4 linked regions of the Tamandua tetradactyla genome follow. The protein of the gene in region 1 interacts with the protein of each later gene in a biochemical or structural test. Links are inferred from orthologs where the notes say so. Each region holds a gene or a part of one and is shown in the gene's direction. Other genes may lie near its edges.

Evidence for each region.
Region 2: of the proteins of MAPK3 (region 1) and PTPRJ, one has a biochemical effect on the other in vitro, tested with the Homo sapiens proteins (2 studies listed by IntAct, with this or other methods). The link is inferred for Tamandua tetradactyla from reciprocal best matches to the Homo sapiens genes MAPK3 and PTPRJ.
Region 3: of the proteins of MAPK3 (region 1) and MBP, one has a biochemical effect on the other in vitro, tested with the Homo sapiens proteins (5 studies listed by BioGRID). The link is inferred for Tamandua tetradactyla from reciprocal best matches to the Homo sapiens genes MAPK3 and MBP.
Region 4: of the proteins of MAPK3 (region 1) and GAB2, one has a biochemical effect on the other in vitro, tested with the Homo sapiens proteins (2 studies listed by BioGRID). The link is inferred for Tamandua tetradactyla from reciprocal best matches to the Homo sapiens genes MAPK3 and GAB2.

Annotation. Positions count from the first base shown.
Region 1 is NC_135349.1:24,645,722-24,652,618, reverse strand, and holds the start of MAPK3 (mitogen-activated protein kinase 3), read left to right. Parts: upstream 1-3,897; coding exon 3,898-4,079; intron 4,080-5,161; coding exon 5,162-5,344; intron 5,345-6,897.
Region 2 is NC_135334.1:124,793,719-124,801,336, forward strand, and holds the start of PTPRJ (receptor-type tyrosine-protein phosphatase eta), read left to right. Parts: upstream 1-4,608; coding exon 4,609-4,713; intron 4,714-7,618. UniProt on the Homo sapiens protein: Tyrosine phosphatase which dephosphorylates or contributes to the dephosphorylation of CTNND1, FLT3, PDGFRB, MET, KDR, LYN, SRC, MAPK1, MAPK3, EGFR, TJP1, OCLN, PIK3R1 and PIK3R2. Plays a role in cell adhesion, migration, proliferation and differentiation.
Region 3 is NC_135344.1:5,464,923-5,472,309, forward strand, and holds the start of MBP (myelin basic protein), read left to right. Parts: upstream 1-4,374; 5' UTR 4,375-4,562; intron 4,563-5,162; exon of another isoform or gene 5,163-5,262; intron 5,263-5,913; exon of another isoform or gene 5,914-6,479; intron 6,480-7,387. UniProt on the Homo sapiens protein: The classic group of MBP isoforms (isoform 4-isoform 14) are with PLP the most abundant protein components of the myelin membrane in the CNS. They have a role in both its formation and stabilization.
Region 4 is NC_135334.1:66,268,949-66,276,537, forward strand, and holds the start of GAB2 (GRB2-associated-binding protein 2), read left to right. Parts: upstream 1-4,588; 5' UTR 4,589-4,661; coding exon 4,662-4,736; intron 4,737-7,589. UniProt on the Homo sapiens protein: Adapter protein which acts downstream of several membrane receptors including cytokine, antigen, hormone, cell matrix and growth factor receptors to regulate multiple signaling pathways.

The DNA of each region.
Region 1 (6,897 bases):
CCTCATTCAATCTTTTTTTTTTTCAAGAGCAGGCACTGGGAATCAAACCCAGGTCTCCAGCATGGTATGGTAGGCAGGAATTCTGCCACTGAGCCACCATTGCACCACCCTGTGGGTATTAACTTTTGATTAGAGGGAGATGTGACTTCTCCCATTCCAGATGGATCTTGATTAGTTTAATGGAATTCTTTAAAAGAGAAAATATTTTGGGGACAGCAACAGAGTCCACCAGCCGGAGACCTTTGGAGATGACGGAAAATACCACCAGGAGAGCTTCAAGGAACAAGAAGCCTGTAAAGACAGCTAGCAGATGTTGCCATGTACGCCATGTGCCTTTTCAGTTGAGAGAGAAACCCTGACCTTTATCAGCCTTTCTTGAGTGAAGGTAACATCTTGTTGGTGCCTTAATTTGGCCATTTCTATAGACTTGCTTTAATTTGGACAATTTCATGGCCATAGAACAGTAAACTTGCAACTTAATAAATCCCCCTTTTAGAAGTCTTTCCATTTCTGGTATATCGCATTCTGGCAGCTAGCAAACCAGAACAGAAGGCTAGTCCAGGGAAGGATTCAGAGGGGGTAGGCAGAACTGATTACAAAGACTTCAGAGAAGGGCCAGCTAAAGAATGCTTATTTCAAAGGAGAGTTGTTTGGGGATACCTACTGTATAACATTTGAAGAGGAGTCACAAGAAAACTATAGTGGAAGTTTTCTGGATTAAAAAAAAAAAAAGGTCAGTACTTAAACCTTGATAAATGTTTAAATGTCTTCTCACCCCATTCCTGCACACTTGCTGCCTTCTTGGGCCGTGCTGATTTGTTGAGTTAATCAAAATATTCATTTGTGCTCTGAAAAAACAAGGCCTTGCAATCATAAAAAGATAAGAACTGGGTTTAAGATTTAATCTGGGTAGATCCAGAGGACAAAACTAAGCCAAATAGTGGCCATTAGAAAAACTAACGATGCAATCAGCTGTAAAGTAATGAACTACCTGGTGGAGAAAATTATTCCCTTCCAACTCTACAATTTCAGTAAGTTCCTGCACTTTTTTCTGTTAAATGGAGATACTGGTATGTATTTCATATGGCTATTGGGAAGATCACAGGAGATATGGTACATAAAAGTGCCTGGCAAAGGAGAGATGCTCAATTTATAGAAGCTGAATATGAATCAATTAAATAGACTAAGAAATACCAGCCCATTCCTCCAAGGAAATATCAACCTCAACCACTAGAGGGGAGTCTCCGTACCACACCCTTAAAATGAACCTCAAAAATGCAGCAAGAGGTGGCAAATTGTCCCTCCAGATATATCAGCCTTTCCTATGCTGAGAAACTCACTCCCACTCAAGAAACCTGGCTCAGTGCTGAACTCCATGGTGTTTTCTCTGAGTCACTATACGCTCCTGCAGTTGCAAAATGATCTGGCAAAAATCCCTCAAAGGTTTTTACTGCTTACTGAGTAAGATCCAAACTCCTTGCCAGAATCCAAGGCCTTTCTCAGTCTTCCCCCATCCTACCTCTCCAGCCTGAACTCTTAATTCTTCACATTCCAGCTACCCTGGACAAGCCAAGCTCCTGCCTCTCCGCCTTGGCTCATGCTGCTGCCTTTCCTTTCTTGGGTCCTGCTGAAATCCTGCCTTTTCAATGGCTCAAATATCACTTCCATTTATCCTTCCCTCACTTCTCCAGAGTGACCTCTCTCACCCTTGAGCTCCCACGCTTCATATTATATCCATCCATCATTTTTTATAGAGATGAAATTAACATTACATAAAATTAACTATTTTAAAGCGAATAACTCTGGGGCATTTAGTACATTCATGCTGCCCTGCAACCACCACCTCTATCTAGTTCTAAAACATTGTCATCATCCCAAAAGGAAACCCATACCCATTAACAGTAACTCCCTATTCCCCAACCTTCCCCCCCGCCCCCCCAGCCCCTGGCCATCATCAATCTGCTCTCTGTCTTCAAGCGTTTATCTACTCTGAATTATTCATATAAGTGGAATCACACAATACGTGCGCTTTTGTGTCTGGCTTCTTTCATTTATCATAATGTTTCCAAGGTTCAGTCACACATAGTATTTAACAGAACTTCATTCCTTTTTATGACTAAATAATATTCCATTCTATTTGTGCATGCTTGTAAGTGTATATATAACCCAAAATTTGTTTTTCCAATCAACTGTTGATGGACATATGAGTTGTTCCCACCTTCTAGCTATCGTGAATAACACCACTATGACGTGATTGTACATGCATTTGAGTGTCTGTTTTCAATTTTGGGGGGTATACTTCCATCTACCCTGAATTAAATTGATTTATATATGTACATTTTATCTTTTTAGTAAATTATAAACTTCACAAGTAAAGAGGATGATAGATAATCCACCCCCCAAAAAACACAGGGAGTAAGTAACAAAGATGCGATTCTAACTCAGGCAAGCTGACTCCAGAGAGCTCCTCTCCATTAATTTTATACTGTACAGTAATTTTTCAACAGAGCTTAGCTAGAGCTTCGCACCACCATTTTATAGTTCACTAAATGAATAACTGAAAAAAACACTGCTCTGATTAGCACCTCTTGAACCTTCAGAGGTGCCAGCTATTGAAAAGGCAGCCACTCAGTCTCACCCATCTGAGTCAGACTGCCTAGCGGTGAATTCAATTATGAGCCATTTCAGAATCATAATTACTGTTCCATTTTGTCTCTTGATCTGGAAGGCATACAAGAACCTACTTCTAGCTACTCAGGAAGAAATAAACAACATGATTACTTACTGAAGCCTAGGAGATATGGGTTTTTGTGAAGCTTTCAGCTCACATCTTCAGTGTGCAACAAAGGGGGTAGGCTGGGTGGTCTCTAAGGGATTTTTCTCCAGTTCTAACAATTCATGGTTCTGAGAGATAATAAGAAATTAGAGAGCCTCGCCCCCTTCAACAGACGACATCATTTTGAGTCTCAGCTGTCATTATTGCTATGACATTAGCCAAGTCAGTTAACCCAAGTCTCAGAGTCCTCATCTGTAAAACGTGATTTGTTCTTATTTGAGTGTCTGAATATCAGAATTATAAAATCTGGTACAGATTCGAAAGATGATGATCTTGCCAGGATTCCAATTTTGCCAACTCCATCAGCAACAAAAACACTACCTACTTTGCTGGTTTGTGTGTGTGTGTGTTTTGTTTTTGTTTTTTGAGAAGAGCCTGCTAGCGAATTTTAATCAAACCCACTCAACTTTGCCTGCAGCTTTCTGGCCTTTCCCCTGCTCCCCAGGTTAAGGATGTCCGGCCTTTGTCCCTAAGCCACTAGGTTGGGGGCCAGGCCCTCAGGGTTCCCCAGCTCTCGCCTGTGCCGGCCCCCTCTCGAGGCTTCAGTTTCTGCATCTGCACAGGGCAGACCACAGCCACCAGGAAGCCCTCTCACACGGCCCCCGGGAAATACCGACGGCCTCACTCATCCTCAGGGCCGGGCTGCAGCGGATTGAGAGGACGGCTCCGTCTCGCGACCCCCGGCCGCCTCGCGGTCAGCGCAACGTCCTGGCTCCACCACATGCTCGCTGGGTGGCCTCGGAGAAGTTCACGGGCCGGGCCGCATTGGGCTGGCCGTGCCACTGACCCCCTCTACCCTCCCCCCAGGCCCTTCTTCGCGGACCCCAGCTGTCGCGCCCAGGACTACCACACCCGCGGCGGGAAAGCCGGGCGCGCGTAGGAGCGGGCCACGTGACCGGTCGCCGGCCCTCGCTCGAGCTCGGCGGGGGCGCGGCGCCCTCGGGGGCGGGGCGTGCCCGGGGGCGGGGCCTGGCGCGCGCGACCCCGCGAGTGACAGGGCGAGCGGGAAGGGGCGGGGCCTCGGGCGGAGCCGCCGGGCGGGCGGGAGGGGAGAGGTGGAGATGGCGGCGGCGGCGGCGGCAGCGGCGGCTGAGGGGGGCGGGGGCAGGGAGCCCCGGGGAGCTGATGGGGTCGGGCCGGGGGTCTCGGGGGAAGTGGAGGTAGTGAAGGGACAGCCGTTCGATGTGGGCCCGCGCTACACGCAGCTGCAGTACATCGGCGAGGGCGCATACGGCATGGTCAGGTGAGGGGGCGTTCTTGGAGGGGGTTATCGAGGAGGAGGGGGCTCCGAGAGCGAGGGAGGGGAGGGAGTGGGGTGCTGCGTGCTTCCTGAGACCTGGAGACTTAGAGCGTCCTGAATTGGCGAGGGACTCAAGAGGCTCGGGGAGCGTCCGGGGGGAAGGGGCCTTTGAGTGCTTTCTGGGGGGCGGGCGGGGGGGCGGGGTGCTGCGAACGTTTTAAGGTAGGGGCCTCGGAGGCTTTGAACGGACCCCCCTATAATGCAAGGAGGGGCATCTGAGTGTATGTGGGGAAGCTGTGGGGACCATGGGAGGGAAGGGGGCCCTTGGGGTGAAGCAAAGATTTCATTCTTGGGGAGGTGATATCCTCAGTGAAGGGGGAGTGAAGGACCCTCCTTTGGGGAGAGGAGGCCTTAGATCTCCCAGTGAGGCTGTCCCAGAGAGTTTGGGAGAGAAGAGCAGAGCTTGGGGCTGGGCAGGGTGGGGCAGGATTTTGGCAGGGGACCAGGGACCCAGTGAGTGATGAGAGCACCCGGAGTGCCCCCCTGCATCTTTTGGGAGGGGATCTATAAGTTCTTCCAGCCGCCCTGTCTGCTCTGGGCCTTTGTTCCTCTGGGAACTGCTCTGCTGCCCAGGTACCTCACCCTGAGACCTGCCCCTGCCTTGACCTTTCCTTCCAGGCCCTCCTCCAACTCCCTCTGCCTCATTGTGTGTCCTTCACTCACCTTCTACCCCCTGAACCTGTCTGGGGTGGAAAGAGCCCATTCTGGAAAGGGCGGTGGGGGGGGGGATGAGGGTGAGTCAGGGCAACTGGAATGGAAGAGGGTTAAGGAGAGGGGAAGTCAGTGAGCGGTCAGTCTCTTCCTCTGTTTGTAAAGTCACCGAAGGGCCTCCTGGCTGCTCCCCAGCCTTTTCCCTGGAGATCCCAACCCTTCACCAGCAGGAAGGAACCAGCATTGTTTATGACTTGGCCAGAGCCCTCTCCTGCTCCCTCCCCTCCCTGCCAAGGCTAGGGTGGAGCCAGCCACCAGGCTCTGGACTCCCCCTTTGTAAGGCCACACCATCATCATCTCCCTGGCCCTCTCAGCTCAGCTTATGACCACGTGCGCAAGACTCGTGTAGCCATCAAGAAGATCAGCCCCTTCGAACATCAGACCTACTGCCAGCGCACACTGCGGGAGATCCAGATCTTGCTGCGCTTCCGCCATGAGAACGTCATTGGCATCCGGGACATTCTGCGGGCGCCCACCCTGGAAGCCATGAGGGATGTGTATCCTTCACCCTGGCCAGATGGCTGGCCAGGCATGACTTTGGAGCTAGGCTGGGGGAACACTGGCCTTCTTTCTGTTTCCTTCTTCCCATCCAACCTTCAAAACAAACTCCATGAAAGAAACTTTCCAGCACAAGAGAGGCCAGAGTGTAAAAGGGTTGGGAGGCCTCAGTAGGATTCTGACCCTGCTCAGACAGGCTGTGTGACCTTGGGCCAGTCCCATCCCTGCTCTGGGCCTCTGGGGGGCTGGGCAAGATGGTCTGTATGGGATCTTTGTCTCCTGACATCTGCAGATCTGTGGTGTGATCCAGCCTCTGCCCACGGTCAGTTCTTGCTTAATAGACTGACGATTCTTTCCTCTTTGTATCCCTGGGCTGGAAGGCAGGCAGGCAAGAAGAAAGCTGCCTTTTCTTGAGGACCTACTATGTGTCAGGGGTTGTGTCTACGAAGTGCTATTTCGTATCTTCCAACTGCCCTCTGTCAAGATAGGCCTCACCAGGTCCATCGTAAAGATGAGGAAACTAAAGTTTAGGAAGCCTAAAATCAAGTGCTTCTTGTTGCTTTCTTCTTCTTCCCCCCGGATGAGAATCTGCCTTCCTTTGACTTCCCTCTCAGAGCCCTACCCCAGGTACCTCTGAATTTGAACCTTGCCCAGGGAGGGACAGACTAACCTTTGTTGCCCTTCCCCAATCTCGCTTTCTGAGTTTGTTGTCCACTTCCTGCCTGGTTTGATGGATTCTCTCAGCAGCTTTTCACACCCATTACCCTGCCTGTTCCAGCCCTCCACCAAAGAGTGGAGATTTGTACTGCAGAGTTTGCTGCCCCCACCACAAACTGAACAGGAAATCTCCACATTTACCCCCTGACTTGCTGTGTGATCTTAAGCAAGTCACTACCTCTCTCTGGGCCTTCCCATCCATAAAACAGCAGGATTGGTCCAGATATCCTTGAAAAGCCCTTTCTAGAGATGAGCCAGATGGCATTATTCATTCATTCATTCATTCATTCATTTATACTTAATCTTTGTTTTATCTTAAAATATAAATATACATTTGTTCCTCAACCTTCTGATGTATGGCCAAGGACTATTTTTTGAGTAGGAGTGTGCTGTTGGGAGTTTTCCTCACTTTTTTTTGCCTAAATCATTCCCATAAGGCAAACATTCATTTTCAAGCAAACATTTCTTGCATACCAGATGGTGTTCATACATTATCTCATTTAACCCTCTTAACAGCCATGTGGCACAGGCAGTTAGAATAGTAATAAAAGTTTGTGTTGACTGAGCATTAACCATTTCCTAAAGCCCTGAGCTGCTTACTTTACAAGAATCATCTCATCCAGTCCTCATAACCATCGTCCAATGAACGATTATTTCCTCCCTTTTACAGACGAAGGAATTGAGGCACAGTCAGGTTGATGCTTGTGTGAGTAGTAGAGTAGGGATTCCAAACATTGGCAGCTTCACTCCAGAACTGTCGCTTTTAACTGGGATGTTCCCCTGCCTCCTGTGGTTTATCATTATCCCCATTTTCCGTGTAGGAGAACTGAGGCCA
Region 2 (7,618 bases), on another chromosome or scaffold:
CATGGCAGGTGGGAGCCACCGTCGCACTGCCCTCGCCGTAACTTTTTGAGTCAATAAATCACCATTTTCTTGTCCGCTGAGGATATGGGGGCCAAGGTTGAGCAGCAGGAGCATCAACGTTGAACCCCAGGCCTCTTCTCACCAGACCCTCCTGCTGGAGAGCCGCCAGGGATGCACTGAAATTCTTTTTTATTCTGGTAACATATAGCACACAACACTAGCCACTTTAACATTGCTAAGGGACAGTCCGGTGGTGTTCTTACATCGTGATATTGCGCCGTCATCACCTTGGCCCCCCGCCACGGACCTTCCCTCCCCCAGACCCCCGGCCTCAATAGGCACGACTCCCCTTCTTCCTCCTTGTCCCCCGGAAACCTCGAACCTACTTTTGATCTTCTCGAATTTGCTTATTCTAGGCATTTCAAACAAGTGGCGTCTGCACGACTCCTCTTCTGGTCCTCTGTGTCCAGCTCATGGCACTCAGCATTCTGTCTTCCAGGCCCGTGGGCGTGAACTCGGAGTGGCCCTTCGCTCCTGCTCTGGGCTGAACCGCACATGCCACCGCGCGCAGCTCCGCAGCCCTGCGCCAGCCCCCACACTCGACGCGCGTGCCCCGCCTTGTGCTGTCGTGAGGAGTGCCGCTGTGATCACTGGTGCACAAAAGTACCATTTGATCTCTGTTTCCATTTCTTCTGAGCATATACCCCGAGCGGTGGAACCACCAGGGCCCTGGTATTGGACGCTTGACTTTTTGAGAAGCTGCGGACTTGGTCTCCACGGTGCCTGCGCCGGTTCACGCTCCCACCAGTAACACACAGAGCTTTCAGTGGCTCCGTATTCTGCCCGCATTCAATGCTTTCCAGTTTTGAGTACAGACACCCTCTCGGGGTGGGAGGGCATCTCACTGCAGTTTGATGTGCATTTCCCCAGTAGCAGCTGACAACGCCAAGTGTTTACTCCCTTCCAGGTAGTGTTCGCGTGGCATTCACTGTTGTTTGAATGGTTGTAACAGTCCCTGAGGAAGGTGACACCACCACCTCATTCGTGGGTGAGGGCGCTGAGGTGGAGTGGGCTGACGTGACCTGCCCTGGCCGCAGCTGTGCAGTGGGAGGACCAGGCTTCGAACTCGGGCAGCGGATGTCTCAGCCCCTGCCACACCCACACAGCACGCTGCCGTCAGGGAGGCTCCAGCTCGTGTCTGGCCAATATCTCTATATACACTCATCTGTCACTTATGGGCACAATTTGTATATATTACAGATACATAATTGTTTTTGTTTATTGAGATGGCAGGGTGCTTTCTTCCTTGCCAGAAAGATTCCACATGACACAATTGTTCCAAGTTCACTTCTTACCCCGCATGTCCCATACATTCAACACCACGTGATTACATGTTTTTTTTCCATCTGAAAATAAAGAACATTTCTTTCCAATCTGCTAATGAAAAAAATTTAACAAGCCTGGGAGAAGCCCGGTGCCAGGAAGCTGAGGGACACAGGCTCTGAGTGGACGCTCCCCGGTCGCTACCCCTCCGGCCGGCTCTCCGGCTCTCCATCTGAGCTGGCTGTTGTGTGCAGACCTGATGGCCTCCTGCCGTGCTGCCACCTCTGCTCTTCCTGCAGAACCTGTTCTCAGGCCTTGGAAGGAAAGCCCCTCGTCTCCTCAGCCCCACGTCTGCAGGTGCCCCAGGAGCCTTGGCCCAAGCCTGCCCTTGTGGGAAGTGGGGGGCCTTGGGCCGGGCCCCCCCGATTTTGCACTCCCAGTCCCTGAAGCGGCAACTGTAGGCTTCCTTGCTTCCTTGTGCCGAAATCTGTCCCATGCAAGTCTCTTTGGAAGTCAAACTTTGCCTCCTATCTGCACACACACACTTAGGAGAAAAAAGAATTAGAAAAATGCTTACTGTTGCAAATGCTTAAAGTCGGAAACCAAAAAGGACACAGCCGGGGCACCCACGCTCTCTGCATGGGCAGGTGACAGGGCACTGCGGGGGGAGGGGGCTGTTTGTCTGGTGGACAGACACGGGGCTCTGACCACAGCCCAATCATTAGCCCACAGGAACACATCCGGCTACTATTATAAAGATGAACTGGAAAAAAAAGCCTTCCTTTCCATTCTGATTCAATTCAAGTGGCCGAGGCAGGAAGGTCTCAGGCAGCCAAGCCTGCAGCGTTAGCTAATCAGACTCACAGAAACATTCCCTTCCGCTTAGCAGGGCTCGGCAGCTCACGGCAGCTTTAGAAATAGACAGAGGATTGCCAGGCTGCAGGGACCCCGCGGGGCCAGAGCCCGGCTCCAGGCTGCTGCCAGGGCAGCCTCCAGTGGGGTGGGGACGTGCCATGAGGCCGTGGCCTTTCCTGGCCTCCACTCTTGGGAGAACAGGAAGAAAGTTACATGCTCTGTCTCTTCCCACTTTAAAAGTATGGAAATTGAGACACAAGAGAGTAAAAATAAAAGCACCCAGAGCAGCCAACACTAGAGGAATGTTTTTAAGCATTTTATATTAACACATCCACAGACATCACATGGACGGGTAGAACGGCATAGAGGCAAGACAGATATGGGTTCGAATCCTGGCTTTGCCCCCTGAAGCTGTGTGACCTCGCACAAGCAATTAAACCTCTCTGAGACCCAGTTTCTCATTTGTGGAGTATTGGTAACGACACCTGTTCTGTAGGGTTGCTGTAAGGAGCCGTGAAGTACTACGACATGGCCTGGCATCTAGAAGGTGCTGGATAAATGGCACTTACTGCTGTTAGGGACCCTGTGCAGGCCAGTCACGGGACGGCCAGCACTCCCCAGTCCTGCGTGACAGCAGAAATTACCCCCAGAGCCTTAAGGAAAGGCAGGGGAAGCCAAACTGTGACAAGCCCAGTGACGCCTAGTGGGCAGTTTGGGGCAGGCCCCAGGAACTCTGCACTCTGGTGGCTTCACCGGCCCCATGCTCAGGGACCCTTTAGCCAGTACTTGAGGGTGGACCTGGTAAAAGGTCGGTGTCCTTAGGTGTTCCCAAGGAGCATTACCCTGCCCTTTGCACAGATTTATTCCTGAAAAGCTGGTAGTAAATGGAATTTGTTGTTGTTGTTGTGTGTGTGTGTGTGTGTGTGCGTGTGTATGGGAGACGGGGGTGGGCGGGTGGGAGAGAGACGAGAAACATGCATATACTTAGTGCTCCAGGGTGCACTCAGAGGAATTCATTCATTTAGGTAAACAGAGGCCGCCTGAGGGTCCCAGGTGCCGGGCCCGCCGAGGCGGGTGAGGAGGCGGGCATACAGGCCTCAGGCTGCAGGTGGCCCTGGGGGCACGAGGTGCAGCCGCAGCTCAGTTGGGGCGCCCGGGAAGGTGTGCAGGGCAAGCGGCAGCCAGGGATGAGACCGCTGAGCTGGAATCTGGTCTCAAATTCTTTGGCAGAGTGTGTGACAACCCTTTCCCTCGTCCCTGTGGAAGAATGGGCTTCCGCACCCTGCGTGCTCTTGCACAACCAGGCGTCTGCACAAGCGTATGGGTTCCTGCTGTGTGAGCACTGAGCAGGGGCCAGCAGCAGGCGAGGTGGGCCCAACCCCTGCCTGCAGGGAGCTTACACCACCCACCCGGGATTGAACTCATTCCTGCCCAGGGCACTAACCCACTGTGATCTGGTTTCGGAGGAACAGGTAGCTTGCTACTCTGGTCACCGCTCCCATTCCTGAAAAGACCATCTTTTCGTTTTCATCGACGTGCAGCAGGGGAATCGGTTCCAAGCAGCACTTAACGTGGGCGCATACCCAGGAAAAGACCCAAGTGCACGCAGGAGCTCCTGGAGACACCAGCAGCCGCAGGGGTCTGGGTGGGGGTGGAGATCTGTAGGCCTGTGGAGGTCTGCGGCAGCCTGAGGACCAGGTCACAGCTGAAGCAAGCCGGGCGTGCTTTCTCTCTGCGATTGGCGGACAGGAAGGCCTTTCAAACCTCCTGCCTCTGCCAGGGTGCTTTGTGGATTATGATCATTGCATAATGTTTAAACAAAAGATGGCAAGGTGTGCAAGCCAACAGGTGACGTCCCCTTGACCTTCTGTGCCTATCTGTGTGTCCAGTGGATGGGAACGCTCACCCTCCTACCCCCACCTCCTACTGCACCCCAGCCCACCCCCACTCCACCCCGGCCCACCCCAAGACCCTTTAAAAAGGTGAGTTCCCCCTTTGCAGGTGGTGAACCTGAGGGCCAAAGGGCCTGGAGGCTGTGCTGGACACCTGCTGGTCTCCACGCCACTGCACACAAGAACCTGCCCCAAACTCTTTATTCTACTTTTAAAATTGTCCCCCAAAAGAAGCCTCGCCCCCCCCCCCCCCCCCAACTTGAAGCGCCTGCCTCCTGGTTTTCTTCCGGCTGCTCCCACTTCCTGAGATGCCTCACCTGCCTGTGGAAATTCACCCAGCATCAGATCGGCTCAGGTGCCAGCCCTCCCTGGTCAGGACTAACCTCCCGCCCCACTGCTCCTGGTTTCTCTCCCCACGCCTCCTGGGGCAAGTCCGGTGCCCTCCCGAGCCTCAGCTTTTTCTCTGGGAAGGAGCCCTGCAGTAACAGTATCTGGCAGGAAACTCTAATCTTAAGGTCACGCACCCTTTGCTAATGGGATGGAACGGCCCCAAGAGCCAACGTTTGTTGAGGCCCACCGGGGGCCAGGCGCCAGGCTTAGGGTGACCCCATCTCACTTAACCCCAGCAGGTCCCTCCAGCCAGGTGCCAGCACTACCCTCCCCGCGAGGCGCAGGGGCTAGCGGGGCTGCCGGGGTCGAGGCGGCGGGGGGGGGGGGGGGGGGGGGGGGGCAGAGCTGGGCCTCGCCCCGGATGGGGGTGGGGAGAGCCCAGCGCAGCAGGCAGTCGGCAATTTCGGGGCGTGTGCACCCCAAGGTAGACAAGGACCAGGCCAGGGGCCCCTCGCAGGCCGGGCTCTGCCCTCGGCAGGGGTCGGGTCAGCGTGTGGCGACCCGCAGCGGGGTCGGGACTCCCGGCGGGCGAGCAGCTGCGTCGCGTCCCGGGTCGCAAGTCCCTGGAATGTGGGGGGCCGGGCGGGGCGGGGGCTGCGGCACGGGGGGGCCGCCGGGGCGCGCGGGGCGGGGGGCGGGGCGGGGGCTGCGGCGCGGGGCGGGCGGGGCGGGGGTGCTCAGGGCCGGGCCGGCCGGGGCGGGAGGAAGCGATGAATATTCAGAGCGGAGGGGGAAGGGCGGCGAGCGCTCGCCACGGCTCCCTGCAGCCGGGGCCGCATGACGCGCGGAGGAGGCAGCGGGAGCCCGCCGAGCCGCGGGAACCGGGCCCGGGCCGCCGAGCGCGGGGGGTGGGCGCCGCTCGCTCCGCCCCGCGCAGCCCCCGCGAGCCCAGGGACGCGGCGCCTTCGCGGCCGCCGCGCCGCGCTTCGCCGAGTGGCCGCCGCCGCTGCCGTGTCCCCGAGGAAGCCCGGGGCGGGCGGAGCGGGGCCCGGCGGGAGCGGCCGGCGGCGGAGGCGGCGGCGCCGGCCCGAGGGGCCCGACTCCCACGTCCCGGGCTCGGTGCGGGGCGCGCGGAGCATGGAGCCCTCGGCGCTGGGGGCGCGACCGCCTCGGCGCGCTCGGGGGCTGCGCTGGGCGCTACCGCCGCTGTTGTTGCTGCTGCGCCTGGGCCAGGTGAGCCGCGGGCCGGGGGGGTGGTGGGCGGGCGGGGCGCGCATCCCCGCACCTGCCCGGCGGGCCCCGCCCTCTGGGTCCCGGGGAGGGGTTGAGGGGCGGGGGTCTTCGAGGCCCCCTCCCTGCGGGGCCTCGCAGGGTTCCGGGCCGGCCTCGCACGCCGGCGGCCGAGGCCCTTTCACGGCCGCCCCACGTCCGGGCTGGGGCGGCGCGACCCAGGGTCCCCCCGGCGTCCGTGGAAGCCCCCGCGCGGGCGAATGCGCCGCCAGCCCGGCTGCGGCCCGGCCCTTCCCGGAGCTGGTCGCCGCCGGCCGGCGCGGGCCCGCGCGAGGGGCGGGAGGGGGCGTGTGCGCGGAGCGTCCGCGACGCGGGGCCGGGGGCGCGGGGCCGGGCCGGGGCGGGGCCTCGGGGCAGGCGGCCCAGCGCCTGGGGAAGGTCCGGCTCGGGAAAGGTGGCCGCGGCCGGCGTTGATCGTGCCCCGGCGCGCACGGCCCGTCGTCTCCCCGGGGAAGCTGCTTCCTTCCCGGCGCTTGAATCGCGCCTTGGGGGCGTTGGCGGCCCCCCGCCCTGTTTTCGCCTTTGCCTTCCCCAGAACGCGGGTGTTGAGATCGCGCCCAGCGGCCGGCACGCCGGTGCCCCGCCACAGCATTCCCACGGGCGGGGTGCACGGCTGGGGCCTGCCCGGGTCCCGCACACCCGGGCGAAGGGGGCACGCGGCGATCCCGGCCGCGGAGCTGCACCGCCCCCGCCTCCGGGACGCGGGCTCGGGCCCGCAGCCCCCGCAGGAGCGGCCGGGGAGGGCCGTGGGGGCAGTCTCGCGGGTCTGGTGCGGCCGCCGCCTCTGAGGAGGTGATGTTTGAAACCCGAGAAGCGAGCGCCTGGGGCGGAGGAGCCCGGGCGCGGGGAAACTTCAGTCCCCAGTGCAGGTCACCTGAGAGCAGGGAAGCCTCGGGGAAGCCGAGCGGCTTAGCGGGCAGGACCGAGGCGCCTGGGGCCTGGCGGCCAACGCAGCCCTCCCTGCCCCGGGGTCCCCCGGAGGCCAGAGCGCGTGGACCGCCGCTCGGGGCTTGCACCGCAGCCTTGCCACGCGGGTCGCGCCCCTGGACAAGGCAGGAGCAGCTGGAGGGCCTTGCGTGGGCCCCGGCCCGACGGGACCTTGTCACCATTAAAGGGCGTCCAGAGGGACTATTGTAAAAGGTACAGTTTATTGGCCGTTTTCTCCCCGTCTCTGGGAGGAATTTCATGGAGAGAAGCCTATGAGGTTAAAAAAGCAAGCACACACCCGTAATTAAAGACGTTGTACCAAAGCATATACTAAAGAAATACTTAATTTAGTTTTAAATTAATTTGATAGATCAAAATATTTATTTTTAAATTTATTTTGGCCTCTGCCCTGGTGGTTGCTAGCTTTTGTGCTTTGAATCAGCAAAAAGTTGCTTGGGTAAATTTATTTCTTGCCCAATCCTTCCTCGTATTACATTAGCATATTGCCACTCTGCACTTGTCCCATAGTCAGGTATTTCCTTCCTTTACAGTTTGTTCTTTAGAAACACAAGAGGAGCCTCTTTAATTTCTCATTTTTGGACATTATAAAAAGCTAAAAGACTCTCTGAAAAAGCGTCTTCAAAATCCACATTTGGCACTTCCTTTCCATATTGGATATTTTGGGGAATCAGAGCATTTTTGAGTTGGACTTGACTTTCAAGATCCCTCAAACCCCTCATTTTTTTAAATGAGGATCTTGAGGTCCAGAGAAGTCACTGACTAGACCAAGACTGTCTAGCAAGATAGTGTAGGGTGCAGGTTTGTCACTAGGGCCTCCTGCCTCTGTCCACTGCTTTCATGATCCTGTGTATATATATATATATACTAAAATAAGTAAATAAATACAGATTTTGCCATGTTTTGCTTCACTCTTCACCATAGGCACAATAATGCCTCATTGTTTACTCCTGAAACGGTGGAGTGACATGGTTTTCCAAAAT
Region 3 (7,387 bases), on another chromosome or scaffold:
TGGCCTGGGACTTTTAATCGGGGTGTCCCCCTCCTGCCGCAGGTGCGGCCCCTTCTGCTCACTTCCTCCGGAGCATCTCATTGTCTTTCCCCGATGGCGTCACTGGAGTTAGCACTTGGCCCAGAGCTGGCCTTCTCTGCCTCCCCAGCGCCCACTCAATGCCGCTGCCCACTGCCTGGGGCAGGGGGGCTCCAGCTTCTCCCATGGGGTGCCCACCGCCGCCTGCTGGCCACGCACTCACTGCACCATCTTGGCATGTGCTGTGACCCTGGGACTTCTGCTCCTGCCCCATGAGATGGAGACAGGAAAAGGCTTACTGCCTCGCTGGCCGGGGAGATGCAGTAATGAGCGGTATAGGGCAGGCAGGCACACAGCAACTTCCTTCTGACTCCTCTATTCTCATCGTGGGCACTGTGGGGACTGCACCTCTGGCCCCTGCCTCCTCTCCCAAGCACCTGCAGCTCTCCTTGGCTGCCTTCACACATGCTGCCCCTTGGGCCAGTTAGCCCAGCCCTGACCCTTTCTCATCTGGAGAACTCCTATTCATCCATCTAAACCCCCACTTGCAGGTCAGCTTCCCTAGGCTTCTGGCCTCACCACTTCCATCTGTGTCCCCGGGCCTCCAGAGCTCACCCTCTTGACACCCTGTCATGCTCACTGCCCCCTTGTTTTGTCCACACCAGAGGTTTTAGTTCCTTGAAGGACACGTCTCATTTAAGGGCTTAAAAATATCTGTGGAATAAATGAACGAGTGAATGAAAGTAAAGTGTTTGGTAAGTAAAACTGTCAGTTAAATAAAACAATCTCTTTTCTGGAGGCAGAATTCATCTTTATAAGAAGTAGAGGGAACAGGGGGTGGGGACAGAATTTTGCCCTCAAGGCTCCTGTCTCCACCATCCCCTCCGCAGTCTTGTCACCCATATTGGGCAGCTGGGCAGGCTGGGAGCGAGTGTCCCCACTGGGCTGTCAACGAATGCATGGCTGCGGGTCTGTGGGTCTTCGGGGCTGCGGGGTCTTCCTCGAGGGATGGTGGGGGGGGGAGCCAAAAGCAATCAGTCCAAAAGGTGAAGGCCAGGGGTCAGGGGCAGCCACAAGCTTCACCCAGGCTGGGGGCAGCACCCGAGAGCAGGCCCAGCACATCCCACAAGGTAAGAAGAGCTGGGGACCTGGAGACGATGTGGCCTTTTGGAAAATGCAAACTGCCAAACCAACTCCTCTTCTTAAAGGAGCGGCAAAGCAGCCCAAAGAATGTAAGAGGTTTACTGGAAAGCAGCCCATACATAATCAGGGAGCAAACTGGAAAATAAAGAAACTCTAAAAGAAATATATATCTGAGATGGTTGAAAGGGAAAATGTTAGGTTGTACAGAAGGCAGCAGAATAAACAATTTTTAAGAATCCATGGAACTGCACAGCACAAATGGTGGCCCCTAAGTTAAATTGTGGGCTGTAGCTAATATTATAGTTATAAAAATGTGCTGCCATCAATTGTGACAAATGTCCTAATCCAATTCAAGGTGTTAATAATGTGGTGGTGTATGGGAATCCTGTATTTATGCATGAGTGTTCAGTAAATCCATAGCATCTTTAATTAAAAAAAATTATTTAAAAGCAATTCAAGGTGGTACGGTGGTGGTACCTGCCATTTCGGAGGCCCGGGTTCGATTCCCGGTGACTGCCCTTGCAAAAAAAAAATAACAATAATAATAAAATAAAAGCAATTCAAATAGCAGAGTTAACCACAGTTAACTGACGGGGATAACTAACTACCACAGTGTGTTTACTAGTGAGCATATGTACAGTTTCTTTTCAAATACACAATATATAATATATACCCCTGTAGTTCATTAAAAGAGTGATCCTGATCACTACAGAGAGCTGCTGGCTTTTATTTTCATTAATGAAGTTATGGGACTATGGTTAAAGAAAAATATTATACATATAGGGGTACACACACGCACATATACACTTTGTAAAACAGTTTATAAAAATATCATTTCAACAATCTCCTTCCCACGTCACAGGCCCTACAAACCCCCTTTCCTTTCCTCCCCCCACCCCGGAGTTCCCGTGTCAGCGAGGAGCGAGCGGGTTTCTGGGCGCACACGTGCTCAGTCGAGCGCACTGAGCCCCGACCACGGCTTCACATCCCTGTCTCCTCACCTAGGGGTCACTCACCTTGTCTTCCTGAATTCAGTGACCGTGTCGGGACTTTCTAGTTGTTACCTGGACCCTCTGGAGAAGCAATCGCCGTGACCCTGTCCAATGCGTTGTCACCAGCGCACTGTCACACACAAGCCGGGGGTGGAAGTGAGCCCAGTCCTTTCCCAGATGGAGGAGAATAAGGAGAGCTCAAAGCACATGTGCTCTGAAGTCGCTAGAAGCTCCTCAGGTTGCTTGACCTGCCGCTTCAGCCCGGACTCCGCGCGTGGATGTGGTCAGGTCGCGGCCCCTGGTTATGTGACCTGGGGAGGGACTACACTGTTTCCCTAGAAATGTCTGCAACGCGAGACTCAGATAATTTACCCTTTACTTCTCCCAACAAGAGTCCTTCCAATTTTATTCAGCATGAGGAAAAGATCACATTTTGTCAAATGAACCTCAGTCATTTTGCTAAAAAACGCGCTGTCATTGTATATAAAGCTCGACTCTCCCTGGGGCCTCTCTGGGCGCCCTGGACCCAGGTCCTTTTCCAAGGCGAGGAGAAGCTTCTAAACCCAACCTCCTCATGCCCACACAGAGCCTTCAACGCTCTCTTCGTAGGATCCGTGTGGGCCGGCAAAGGGCGATGGTGCAGTTTATAAACATTCTGAAAAGAGTTTTAACTGGCAGGGTTGGAAGGCCTGAAACTCACAGAGGTGACTGCTGGCTGGTGTCCTATTTCTTTAAACCACTGAAAAATTAGCAGAAGTGGCATAAAGAGGAAGGACACCGGTTGCCACTTGACTACAGCTGGCACCACGGGCCAAAGCCCAGCTCCCTGGGCTCGCAGGGCACGAGTCTCTGTTGCTTTCTTCTGAGTCACTGTGAGACGACCAGAGACACATTTCGGGGGGAGGGAGAAACTGTCTGCAATGTCCAAGCAGACGTCCCAGCTACAGCCCAGTGTTCCCATCCCCAGGCCTAAGAAGTTTGGGGGGAGTGACTGGAGTTGGGTTATGTCACTGGCCCTGGCACCCCCGGCCCGTGTCCCTCAGGCCCACCCCACTTACCAGGTACTGAAGAGCTGGTAGCAGAGGCCCAAAAGCTGGTGTCCTCCTCACCTCCCGCCTCCAGCCTGAGCACCTTCAGCTCCTCTCGGGAAAGGATCACGTGCGATGCTTTCTATCACTCTGGAGAGGTCACACACACTCGCTAATTCTGATGCAGTCAGCATTTGGACGTGGCAGACCTGCGGGGACCCTGTGTGTGGGGGGGGGTCAGGCTTGGGCAGGGTGTTCCTGAGACCCCGAAAGAGATTGCTGGGGCCACAACTGAGAGGGCCTCCTGACAGCGCCAGGTGCATTTCCCTGGCCAGGGAAGGGAAGCGGGAGCCGGGTAAGCGCCTCCCCTAGTGCCCGGCCTCCCCCATCTCCTGTCTTTCCCACCCACCTGCGGCAAGAGACCAAGAATTCAGGGGAGGTGTCCAGGGGAAGGCTCACAGAGCCCACCAGGGTTTCCCTCCAGATCTCTGAGTCCAGTTGGCTCACGTTCAAACGGCAGGCTTCCTTTTAACCAGGGCAGGACAGACACCACCTACCAAAAGGAAGCATGGGGACTTCGGGGTCAGCCAGCCCTTTCTGCTCCAGAAGAAGGTGGGTCCCCCGGTGTATGTTCTTTGCCCCCTTTGGGAAAACTCTGGTTCTCCAGCAGAACTGCCGGTGGGTGAAGGTTCAACCCAGGAACAACCTGCCTCTAGAGGGGCAACTGCAAGGCCCGGGTTTGATACCGACAGCACCCCCAGAGCAGTGGGTGTTCCCAGAGGGTCAGTGGGAGAACGGCCTGGAGCGCCAGGTCCGGACAGGGCCGGGCTCTGCCCAGCAGGTTCCCGGCGGGCACCCCAGGTGCGAGCTGCGGATCCGGACGGTGGGGGCGTGCTTGTCCCCACGGTGGCCGAGCCGGGAGAGGGGGAGACGCTCTCTGAGACTCCTCCTCGGGGAGGTAGGGGCCGGGGCTCGATTCGGAGGGTAGGCTCCAAGGCTGGGGTCCACCGGCAAAGCTGCCCTCCCACCCCTCCCAGGGCTGACCCTTGTGTGCTCACAGGGTCACTTTGGCCCGCGCGCCTGGGGCGGGAAGAGGGGCGGCCCGGGGGGCGGCGGCCTTTACCTGCCGCCAGGAAGCGGCGCGGGGGCGGGGCGGGGCGACCGGGTGCGCGCCGGGCCCGCGGAGAGCGCTGTCAGTCACCCCGCCGCGCGCCAGCGAGGACGAGCCTACGGCCCTGGCGGCCCGCGTCTCCCAACTAAAGCAGGCGGCTGAGGCGGCGGCGACTCCCAGACCAGCCCGCCTGGGGGCCCGCGGACCTGGAGGAGGCAGCCGCCAGCCCCCGCGCGGCCCCTCGGCCTCGGAGCCGCGAGCGCAGCGCGGGTGAGTGACCCTCGCCGGGGTCGGGCGGGGTGGCCGGGGGCCCTTTTGTCTCCCGAGCCCTTCTCGGAGCGCGAGGTGCGGGGAACCGGGTGACCTCGGGGACCAGCGTGAGGGAACCCCGAGCCTAGCTCCTCTGGGGCGTGTGGGCAGGGTTGGCCCGTGTCAGCCGAGGGCGGCTGCCCCGCGGTCAGGGGGCTCGGGGCACAGTCGGGCAGCGGCGCAGGTGGCCGGGCCGCGCGGGCGGGACGGGAGCAGTTGGCAGCCCCACGGCCTCCCGAGCCCGCCCCCTCCCACCCCTCACCACCCACCCCCATCCGAGTCTTCCCTGCGAGGAACTAGGGCACGGGTGTAGACGCCGCAGAAGGGGCCGAAGCCCTGACAGAGTCCGCGGTGGCGTCCGGACCACGTCCGCCGTCTTGGGGTGGCGGGGACCCCGCGAGGCCTAAGCGGGGAGCGGGCGGCGGCGGCGCGCGGGGAGGAGTCTCGGTTTGGGGCGGGGGGAGGTGACAACGGTCTCCAGGCCGCGCTCAGCCCGCGGCCACCGGGCTGCGTGGGGCAGGCAGGAGGGCCGCCTGCCTTTGGCGCTTTGGAATGGCTCACCTGGCCGGGCCCCGCGCCCTCCCGAGAGCCGAGCACGGTCTCCCTGCGAGCAGCGAGCGCGGCGACCAGCGACTTGGCCCTGCGCTTCCGCCTCCGCCCGCCGGTCTCAGCCCCTGCGTCCCGCCCCGCCACCTGCAACCTACGGGCGGCCCATGCGCCCCGCCCAGGGCCCCCGCCCGCCCCCTGCCTCCTGCCGCCCACCTGCCGCCCACCTCCCGCCCGACCCTGCGTCGCTGCCCTCACCTCCCGGACAGGGCCGCCCCTCTGCTGCCTATGCCGGTGCTCACGGGCGCCTGAAGTTGTCTCTCTGGGACACGGGTGGCACCAGGCCCTCTGGGCTTCTCTGACTCGGCCTGCTCCAGCCCTCTGCCCCGGAGGCCGAGTGGGAGTGGAAACGTGTTTCTTTGGGGCCGGGAAGGGTCTCACTTAGACTCTGGAACTCCTGGGGCCTGCTCTCCGTTTTCCAAGGGCCACCGTGGGAGAAGCAGCATGTGCTCCGTTTATCTTTGAGTTTGTGGAGGGGGAAAGCCGGGTGACACTGGGTAGGGACAGGACAGTCCCCAAGGAGCAGAGGGACCCTTGTGGAGGGCCTGGGAGGAGCTGGGCTGCCACAGCACCCCACCCAGCCTGGCAGGCGAGCTCCCACCAGCCAAGGAGGAACTGCAGGGGGGTTAAGTAAGATAAAAATAGTCTTTTATCTATAAAAAATCAAGTTAAAATTTATTGTTCAATAATGGTTAATTCCCAAGGAATTAACTGTTCTGAAATGGCTATTTTTATTAACTTGTTTAAAAGAAATACAATTTGGTTCAAATCTATTTGGAAAATCTTTCTAAAGTACTACATTTCTGTCTGCCCTAAGATAAGAAAATCAAAGATAAGTTCCTTGTCTTACAAGTTGGTATTTACTTGCTCTGTCATGATTTTGAACCTGGGCTTCTGCTTCCTGGTCAAATGTTGGCGCTCACTATCTGCGCAATCAAAGGAATTCAGTAAAAGCTGAAAAAGAATTGAGATCAACCTTTCTGGGGCTTTTCCTATTTCTGACATTTTAAATGTTAACTGAAGGTCATTTTGTTTGCTCTTTAGCGAGTCTCCGAATTCTTTAAAAGTTTAGCACGTTTCAGGTTTTGCCGCCGCCCCTCTGCCCGATCTGTGTCCGCATGGCACTGGCAGGGCCCTGCGCCCTCTGCATCACTTTATTCAATAGTCCTGGCTGCGCTGTGACATCCTCACTTGTTGTGACAGTTACCCTTTTAAGATCCTCTTGTTTTTACACAGGGGGATACTGAGGCACAGAGATGGTGATTACCTTACCTACAAGACACAGGATCAGTTAGAAGCAGAGCAGAATTCCAGGGCGGGGGGAGTTGTGTCCAGCCACCCCGCTGCCGCCTCTGCCGTGGGGGAGGACCTACCCCCCACCCCACCCCCGTCCCCTCTGTTTCTCTTTCTCATTTAAATGCCACCGTTAATGAGTGGCCCTGCCCGATAAAAGCGTCTCCTTCCAGATGACTGGACCCGAAAGGCCCTGTCCCCTGTCTGAGTCCCTCATCCTCTCCTTAGTGTCCTTCCTTGTCAATAAAGAACAAAAGAAAGTATTCCCCTTACTCTCCGTATAATTTTTAATTAACAGCCAGGAAGCAGTACTTAAGGGAGCTTAACTCAGGCCTGGTGCCAGCGGCCCCAGCCGCTGTTTAATGGAGCAAAAAAGCACCTGGGAAACACTGCTGAGGTCGGCATCAGTCAGGGACCCCCAGAGAGGCAGAGCCTGTAGGGGCTGGAGGTGAAGGACTGTGGTGCCAGGGGTGGGCTTTGCCTCAGTGGGGAAAGGCGGGCGGGCAGGGCAGCCCGGCTGCACGTGCTGTCCGCAAGCAGAATTTCCCTCTGGTTGTAACACATGACAACTGGCAGCGATGTGGCAAGCCTACCAGGAGCGGCTCAGAGCAGCAATTGTTAGCATTCAAACATAACAATTAGTTATGTTGATTCTCAAATCGTGGTCTACGCAGTTAGCACTGAGTAGGCCTGTAAGTGACGGGATGAAAACTAGATGGGTGCCAGGAAAATAAGGCTGAACAGACGCATGGTGAGGATATGGAATATATCCAAAAAAATCTTAAAAATCAACAGTGTTAAACAAGTGACCCCAAAGAAAGATGTGCTGGTGAACAGACTGGTCTAGAAGGGAAAGCTCAGTGGGCTAGTCAACGGGGGAAAGTCAG
Region 4 (7,589 bases), on another chromosome or scaffold:
AGATCAGAGCAGCCACAAAGTGATTTAGTCCCAGAAAGGAGATTCTGTAAGTCAGTGTCAGGGTTTGGAAATCAAGAATTAACACAATTAGCTCTCTGGAGCCTGGGGTAAAAAATAAAAATAAAAAACCTCAGAAAAGATCAAAGAAGGCAAGCCGTAGTTTTTAAAACTACCTTTTTAAAGTGGAACCGCATATGATTACCTCCACCTGCTTAGCCCTTCCATCCAGGCCAGTCCCTGTAGATTTAAACACTCCAGTCATATAGTAAGTATCCTCACAGATACAATTCTCTGCTATGGGTGCACCTGAGAGAACTGGATGTTTCAGAGGTTCCCAGCCCCTTGAAGGATGTCTTGGACTTGTCATCCTTCAAGCATTTTGGTTCATTCATTCTCACACATACACAAAACTTTAATGAGTATCTATTGTGTGCCTGACACCAACCTAAAATATCCTTGGAAAAATATGAGAGATTTACCCTCCAGGAACTCACAGTTCCTTGACAAGTAAACAAATATTTGCAGTACAGTGTGATAATCATATTTATTTTTACTAGGTGCAGTATGAATACAAAGAAAATGAACAACTGTGCTGGGGAATGAGCAGGGTGAGTTTTAGGAAAGGGAGTATTGACAGGTTTAAGATATAATTTGAGATAGGAGTTCTCTCTGTGAAGAAAATAAGGGGCCAGCATGCAAAGCGTTCAACAGTCTTTGCTCTTGGGAGAGCATGGACAACTGATTTTGCAGTGGGTTCAGTGCAACACGATGTTACCAAGCTGACCAGTAGCAGCAGAAATGTCCCAGGAGCAAACCTGCCACAAAGCAATTAGCATAGGTTTTGATTCTCTACAATGGGAAACTAAATGGCACAAACTTTACCAAAATGCCTCCCACTGATGTAGTGTAACTCTCATATTGTTAGCAGCCATCCACAGAGAGGGAAATCCAAATAGGTCTTCAACCATACCCCAAGCCCACTTCCAGATCTCAGTTCCAGCAGATCCAAGAGTTGATTTAAATCAGAGGGTAATTTGATGGAGTGAACCAACTGGGCTCTAAGTGACTTGGGGTTAAAGAGGCAAAACATATCAAGATGCCTGAAAGACAACAGTGTCCTGGGAGTCCTCTGTTGAGGTGACTCAGCTGGTCATACTGACCTTGGCAAGCAATGTGCAGCTCTGAAATTAACCTGTCAACTAAACTGAAGGGGAGAAAAGACAGAAGGGCTACAACACAAACACCGTCCCCACCCCCAGTCCAATCGCTGACGTCAGGCCTGGCGTGGGTGGTATTAATCACACCAGCCTGGTGTGCAGTTGAGGACAGCTCTCCTTCCAGCCCTTCCAACCCGTTCCTGGGAGCGTTCCACCAGCCATGCACCTGCCGCTGGCCACAAACTCTCAGCTCCCAGACAGGCACGGATGCAGGCTGTCGCTGACGACACTAAAAGCCACAGTGCACCCTTTAGAACCCGGGCGTGGAGGGGGGTAGGGCAAAAATTGGTACCCATGCTCCCCTCCCAGGTGTGACTGCTCCCTCCCCACGATCCTCCCTGCCCCCCACCCCCATGCACACACATAAGATTGTAATTTCCTTGGAATGTAATGAGAATAAGAAATTAATGACCCAAAACACTCCTTGGAGCCGGTCATTAATCCACCCCACCCCCACCCCCCAGGAATTACCCCATGGTCTTTAATAGAAATTGCCTAAATTATAGACTAGCGATGCATGTCCGCACCGGTTGCGACGGGGAGGGTGGGGGAAATGTCGTCCCAACTGGTTCCGGTAGGTGGCGCCTGTCTTCGTGTAAATAAATTACTTAAGTAATTTGTTTTCCCTTTCTCCTTAGCGAAAACCAGGGAACATTTTTTAAAAAGGCAGCGGGTGGGGAGTACTCAGTAAAGGCCCAGACAGGAACGTTTTGTCCGAGAGCTGTTTTCAGGCCTGACAGGCATCCCGGGCTCCGAAGATTGAGACACACAGGGTGAAGCCAGCATTCTGAGTGCAGCCTGTACTGGGCGCTGGCAGCCAAGTGATGAGGAAGGTGCAGAGAGAGAATTCGGGAAGTGAGGGAACAGAAGAGCACGGAAGAGAGGGTGGTGTTTCTCCAACCTTTGGGGAAGGAGGGTGGTGTTCGCAGACTTCCTGATATGCCCATACTCTGTAACTCGTATTTTAAGGCCTCTCCCATCATTGGCCATAATTCTCATATGGAATTGTAAATAAAAGCTTGAAGTCTTCTAAGACTTCTAAGACCTTAAAGAGTTTTGGCTGAATGTGACCTATCCCCCAAGTAATCATTGCTGAGCAATCTCCCATCTGTCATGAATCATATAAATATTAATAGGTATGTAATAGAAGACTTACGACTCTTCTAGGGAAAGATAAGGCATATGGATGCCTGACTTGCATCATAAACCTCAGCTGCTGCCAAATCCTGAAGTTTTCTCAGACTCCTTGCAGTCCCTGAGACTTGGCACCATGACTCAGATGTGAATAGTCAGTAAGATTACTTTATTTTGGTTGGGAGTCACCGCCTCCTGATCAATCTGGCACTTTGAGTGTTTTGATATTTATGTCATAGGTTTTTTTTCCCCATGAACCAGTTTATTTGCATTTAACATGATTATACAGATTCATGTGTTTAACAAGATCTGCACTGTTACATTAAAAAATGCAGTACAATAACGTTCAATATGAGATACTTTATTTTTTTTCTTCATAAATAATGTTGAAAGCCACTAAATTCAAGCTCCCTCATGCACAAAGTGGCTACAGGATCCTGAATTTAGCTGAGCTTGTTTAAACACCTTATAAAAACAAACAAAAAAGACATTTCTGTGAAACAATTATGTAGAAATTAGATCATTTACTTAAATAGTATTTTAAGATAGGTTCAAAGAATGTTACATGAAAATTGCTGACCTAGTTACCCTTTATTCTCAGTTCTCCTAGAGTTTTAAGGTAATTCTGGTGGTGGCCTTTGCATGTGGCTTAAGGATCTATGAACTGAAAGGCTAAGGAAGCTCTGGTTCCAGCTATTGTTATAGTGCTGGCTTTAAACTCTATTCAACAGCATACTGGACAGTGAAGAAAGTCAGTGAAATACTGGGGTCAAGGGAGCAGCTCTCTAAATCTCCCAGGGTGCCAGGAAAAGCTAAGCGCCCAGTAGATGAACGTCTAACTCAACCAAGATGAAAGTCACGCTCCTTGAAATAAGTAGCTTAGCTGCTTGGAGACAGGGAAGTGAACAAAATAGCTTTAGTCTAAGATTGGGAGAGAAAGGTGCTTTCTGAAAGGTGTTTTTTTTAAGAGATGCTGCTTCTCCAGTTCATGTGTGGCAGTACAGTAACCCATTGGGTTACTATCCACTTGAAAGACAACTTGGGGCGCTTAAGGCTGCTTATTAAGGAACTTTGTGAATGAAAAAGAGCTACCAAAAGTATTTTCATGTTTTTCTCCACCCTACCCCTGAAGTGCTGGTGTTGTCAAGTGTGTACTTTCACATACTTTATCTGAGTTAAACCTTACCACAGCTCATGGAGAGATGTATCATTATATTCCAGTTTACAAATGAGTCCCAAAGAGGTCTCATAGCCTATATAAATGAGTTGGAACTTGAGGAATTTTGCCCCAATTTTTCTTTTTTCTGTCTTCCAATTTGCCATGATATACACTGACTAATTTTTGCTTCGTCAGTTCTTTTCAAGTCATACAGATGTTCTTTTACTGAGCCACTTTCCCAGAGGCAGTATGGGAGCTTGCTGGACTTTGTTTCCTGACAAAGACCAAGTTGATTCATAGACTTTAAAGCAGTCCCCCCATTTTAAATAGCAGATAAGCACAAACCTACCCCTACCTCCTCGGAATTAGAAATCTTGCTTTGCATTGTACTAGTGCTGACACCTTAGGCTATCTGTAAAATAGGAACACTACTGCCCACCAATTTGTAGGTTAAGACAATCATCCGGCACTTCGTAGGTGTGTTTTCCTTTTTTCCTCCCGCCAAGGGAGTGTGAGAGTTAATGAAACTCTTGCTGCGAAGCGGATCACTAATTTCAGCCAGAACCTGACCCGCTGAAACCTGAAACTCTGGGAATGGACAGGAAACGTGAGCAGCCTTCGGGTCCCTTCCCCGTCAACTCTCCTTGAAAAATTGATCCGCGACCGACAGCCCTCTGATTCCTCTCCCCTCACACCTCCCCTCCAGGGCGCGGCTGTCTCCCCCAGTCCTCCGGATTTTCTGGAAAAGACTTCAGAGGGGAAAGGAAAAACAATAATAAATAAAACCAGGACGGGAGCGCAGCCGAAGGTAGCTTTGGACGTTAGCGCCGACTCGGGTCCTCCGGCAGCCGCGAGGCGTTGTCCGCAGGCGGAGCGCGCGGCGGGCTGTGGGCGTGGCGAGCGCGCGCTGGCCGCTTCCTGCCGGGCGCCCCCTCCCGGCCGGCAGCGAGTGCGCGCGCGGGGCCGGGCCGGGGGCGGGGGCGAGCGGGTGCGCGCACTCACGGCTGGGCCCGCGCCGCCTCGTCCTCGCCCGGCGGCCCCTGGCGGCCCCGCCCCTCCCTCCCGCGCGAGCTGCGCACCGCGGGTCGACTGACCCAGTGGCCGGCGCCCTTGTCCGCCCGACCCGGCGCGGGCTCCAGTCCGCCGACAGCATGAGCGGCGGCGGCGACGTGGTGTGCACCGGCTGGCTGAGGAAATCGCCCCCCGAGAAGAAGTTGAGGCGCTATGTGAGTGCAGGCGGCGAGCGGGAGCGGCCGCGGGGGGCGCGAGCTAGGGGCGCCCGGCGGCCTACAGAGGGGTGGGGGCTTCCGTAGGGGCCGCGCCAATGGGGACGGCGGACCTTCCCCCGGGCCTGCGGGGGTCGAGGAGTGGTCGCCGCGCCCCGCGGCGCCGGGGTGTGTGGGGCACCTGCACACCTGTCACAGGTGCGCCGCCGAGGGGCGGGGCGGCTGGTTGAGGCTGCGGCACCCTCTGCGCTGGGCAGGCACGTCGGAGGCACCTCCCCAGCCAGCCTCCTTGTAAACTAAACACAGCGTTGAAGTTTGTATTGATTGTTTGGGGAGACCGAGAGAGTTGATTCCCCGGGCTAGGAAGCACAGTAACCCTGGGCGGTCTCCCCCTGCAGGGTCGGAGGAGTGGGTGGGAAAGGGGGGAGTAAGCTGTGTGGCCGCGCGGCTTGTCCCGCACAAAGGGCGACGCGCCTCACACCCTCTCCCTCTTCCCGTTCTCTGCCCGCCCCTCCCGGGTGGCCGTCTGCTTCCTTCCAGTCCAGAGCTTCTGCATCATGGGCAGCGTCAGCGGCATGTGCAGCCCTTGTATTAAGTGACTCATTTGTTTGTTCCCCTTCTTTCCCTTTACTCCGTATGTCTCTCACATGCATACCCCTCCCCCGAGTGTGACACTGCAGTTTGGTCCGTTGTAACTAGCCTGGGTTTTGTATTGTGTAGACCTTGGTGTCTGGGGTCGGGAGAGATCAAGGTTCTCAGTTGCCAGGTGGTGCTAACCCACAGTGTTTACTGAAATTGCTGGGACAGCGTCTCTCCTCTGCGTGAGAAACTGGCAATATCAAGGGGGATGTGGTACAGCCTGGTGCTGAGCTGTGAGGAGATAGGACGTTTTTTTGTTTTTTAACCCGAGGATGTATGCCTGGTGGGTCAAAGAACAAAACGGTGCGTTACAAATTTTGGCAGAAATCAGCCCCGGAGTTGTGGCCGGAGTTTGGAAATGGAAGTAAGGTCGCTAAAATGCCTCAAAGTCTCCCATCTTCGCCCTCTTCACTTCCTACAAAATGCCCTTGTTACGACTGATTTTTGGTGCTGGGCTCTAGGATTGCTCCCATAGTCTGGAAGTGAGGGCTTGTCTTCCAGCTGCAGTGCATCAAGGGAGCTCTGAATAGACCCTGCCTTCTGTCAGCTGCAGCAGTGGCTGTCCATGGGGGGAGAGGCAGAAGCTTACCAGAGTTTCCTGTCTTGGCTCCCCAGATCAGAATCAAGGGACTTCTGGCCTCTGGACTGAGGAAGTGACATTCTGTTTTTCAAAGGAAGTGTTGTTATTGGGGAGTGCAGGTGTGTGTGTGTGTAAGAGAGTGGGGGAGAGAGAGAATATGAAATCAGGCTCTTAGATCATTTACTGGGAAAAAAAAATCTGAGGATTCAACACATGATTTATGAAAGTGGACATAGATTTAAAGTACAATAGGGTTGAGAGAATGACTGTTCATCTCATTTTCAGGGGTGTCTGTGTAGCTAAAGTATTATAATGACTAAGAAAGAGACTTCTTTCATCTTCAGGGTTGTATCAGCTTATTAGGAAAGTTGATTGTATTAAGTTGAGGAGAAATATCCTGTTAGCATATTTTTATATATATATATAAATCTGGGTCCTCAAAGAGCTTCTAAAAATTGCCAATAAAAAAAAGTTTCATACTATGCAGTGAAATAGTGTGCAGTAGAGAAGTGACCCTTAATTGTCAAATTAGAACAATATCCTAAAAAACCTTGAAACTTTGTTTTGAAACAATTTGCAAACAATTTAACACTGTATCCATATTTGACTGGTGGCTACTTCAGACTCTCTTCAGACCCATTTCTTGGGTATTTTTATTGCTGAGCAGATTTAGCTCAGAATAACCAAGTTTGGAGGCTTTTAGATTAAGAAACTTTTCACACCTTTGAACTACTTAACACCCTAGAGTCCTGATCTCCATCTCTGTTTCCCATCTTCCTTGCAGTTTCTGCCGATAGCATGGTGTATTTCACTGGTATGAGTGGAACCCTTTCCCACTATGGAAATTCATTCCCCCTGGTTTAAACTGAGCCACTCTGACTAACCCTAAACTCCTGTGGAGCAGTTTGCCTTTACATCTCCTTTTCTTTTTGGGTGTTGAGAATTTCTGTACCCCATTTTAAGTTAGAACTCTGCCAGTTCCCTCTGTTTATTAGAGGTCCAAATTCATTAGAAGCAAACTTGGAAAGAGTAATTGCTTAACATAAACTCCAAAACAGCTGCTGCTTGTGGTGACTATAATATACATGTGATTTTGTAGACTGATAAATCTTTCTCATAAAAATATATCAAATTTATGAGTTAAGGGAAAAAGCAGTTTATGAAATAAATTAAAATTATTTAATTTTTACTTTTTAAAAAGCAACATTTCTGGTTTAATTTGGAGTGAGGGGTAGGTGTAGGGGAAAAAATCAACCTGGAAGAAGCTATGGCAGATGTTATTGGGGATTAGGTTTTAGCAATTTCCCCCCACAATATTTTCTATTTTATTAATCTCATTTAAATGTAAAAGGTTATGTCTGGTATTTGCTGAGTGCCCTAGAGAAATTGCAAAAAATGACCTCAGGAAAATTGTGAATATTGCCCGCGGGCATCAGGATAATGGTTATAGTGGGAGACTGGCAGGAGAAACTGAAAAATCTTCCTTTGCCATTGAGTACTTAGTCTCCCAGTATGTGTGTGTGATATATGTGTGTGTGTATATAGACATGCATATAACTGAAATGGGATTTTCTTGAGTAAAAAGCTTACTTATTGACAAACAGTGCACTGCAGTTTTCTGTTTATTTCACAGG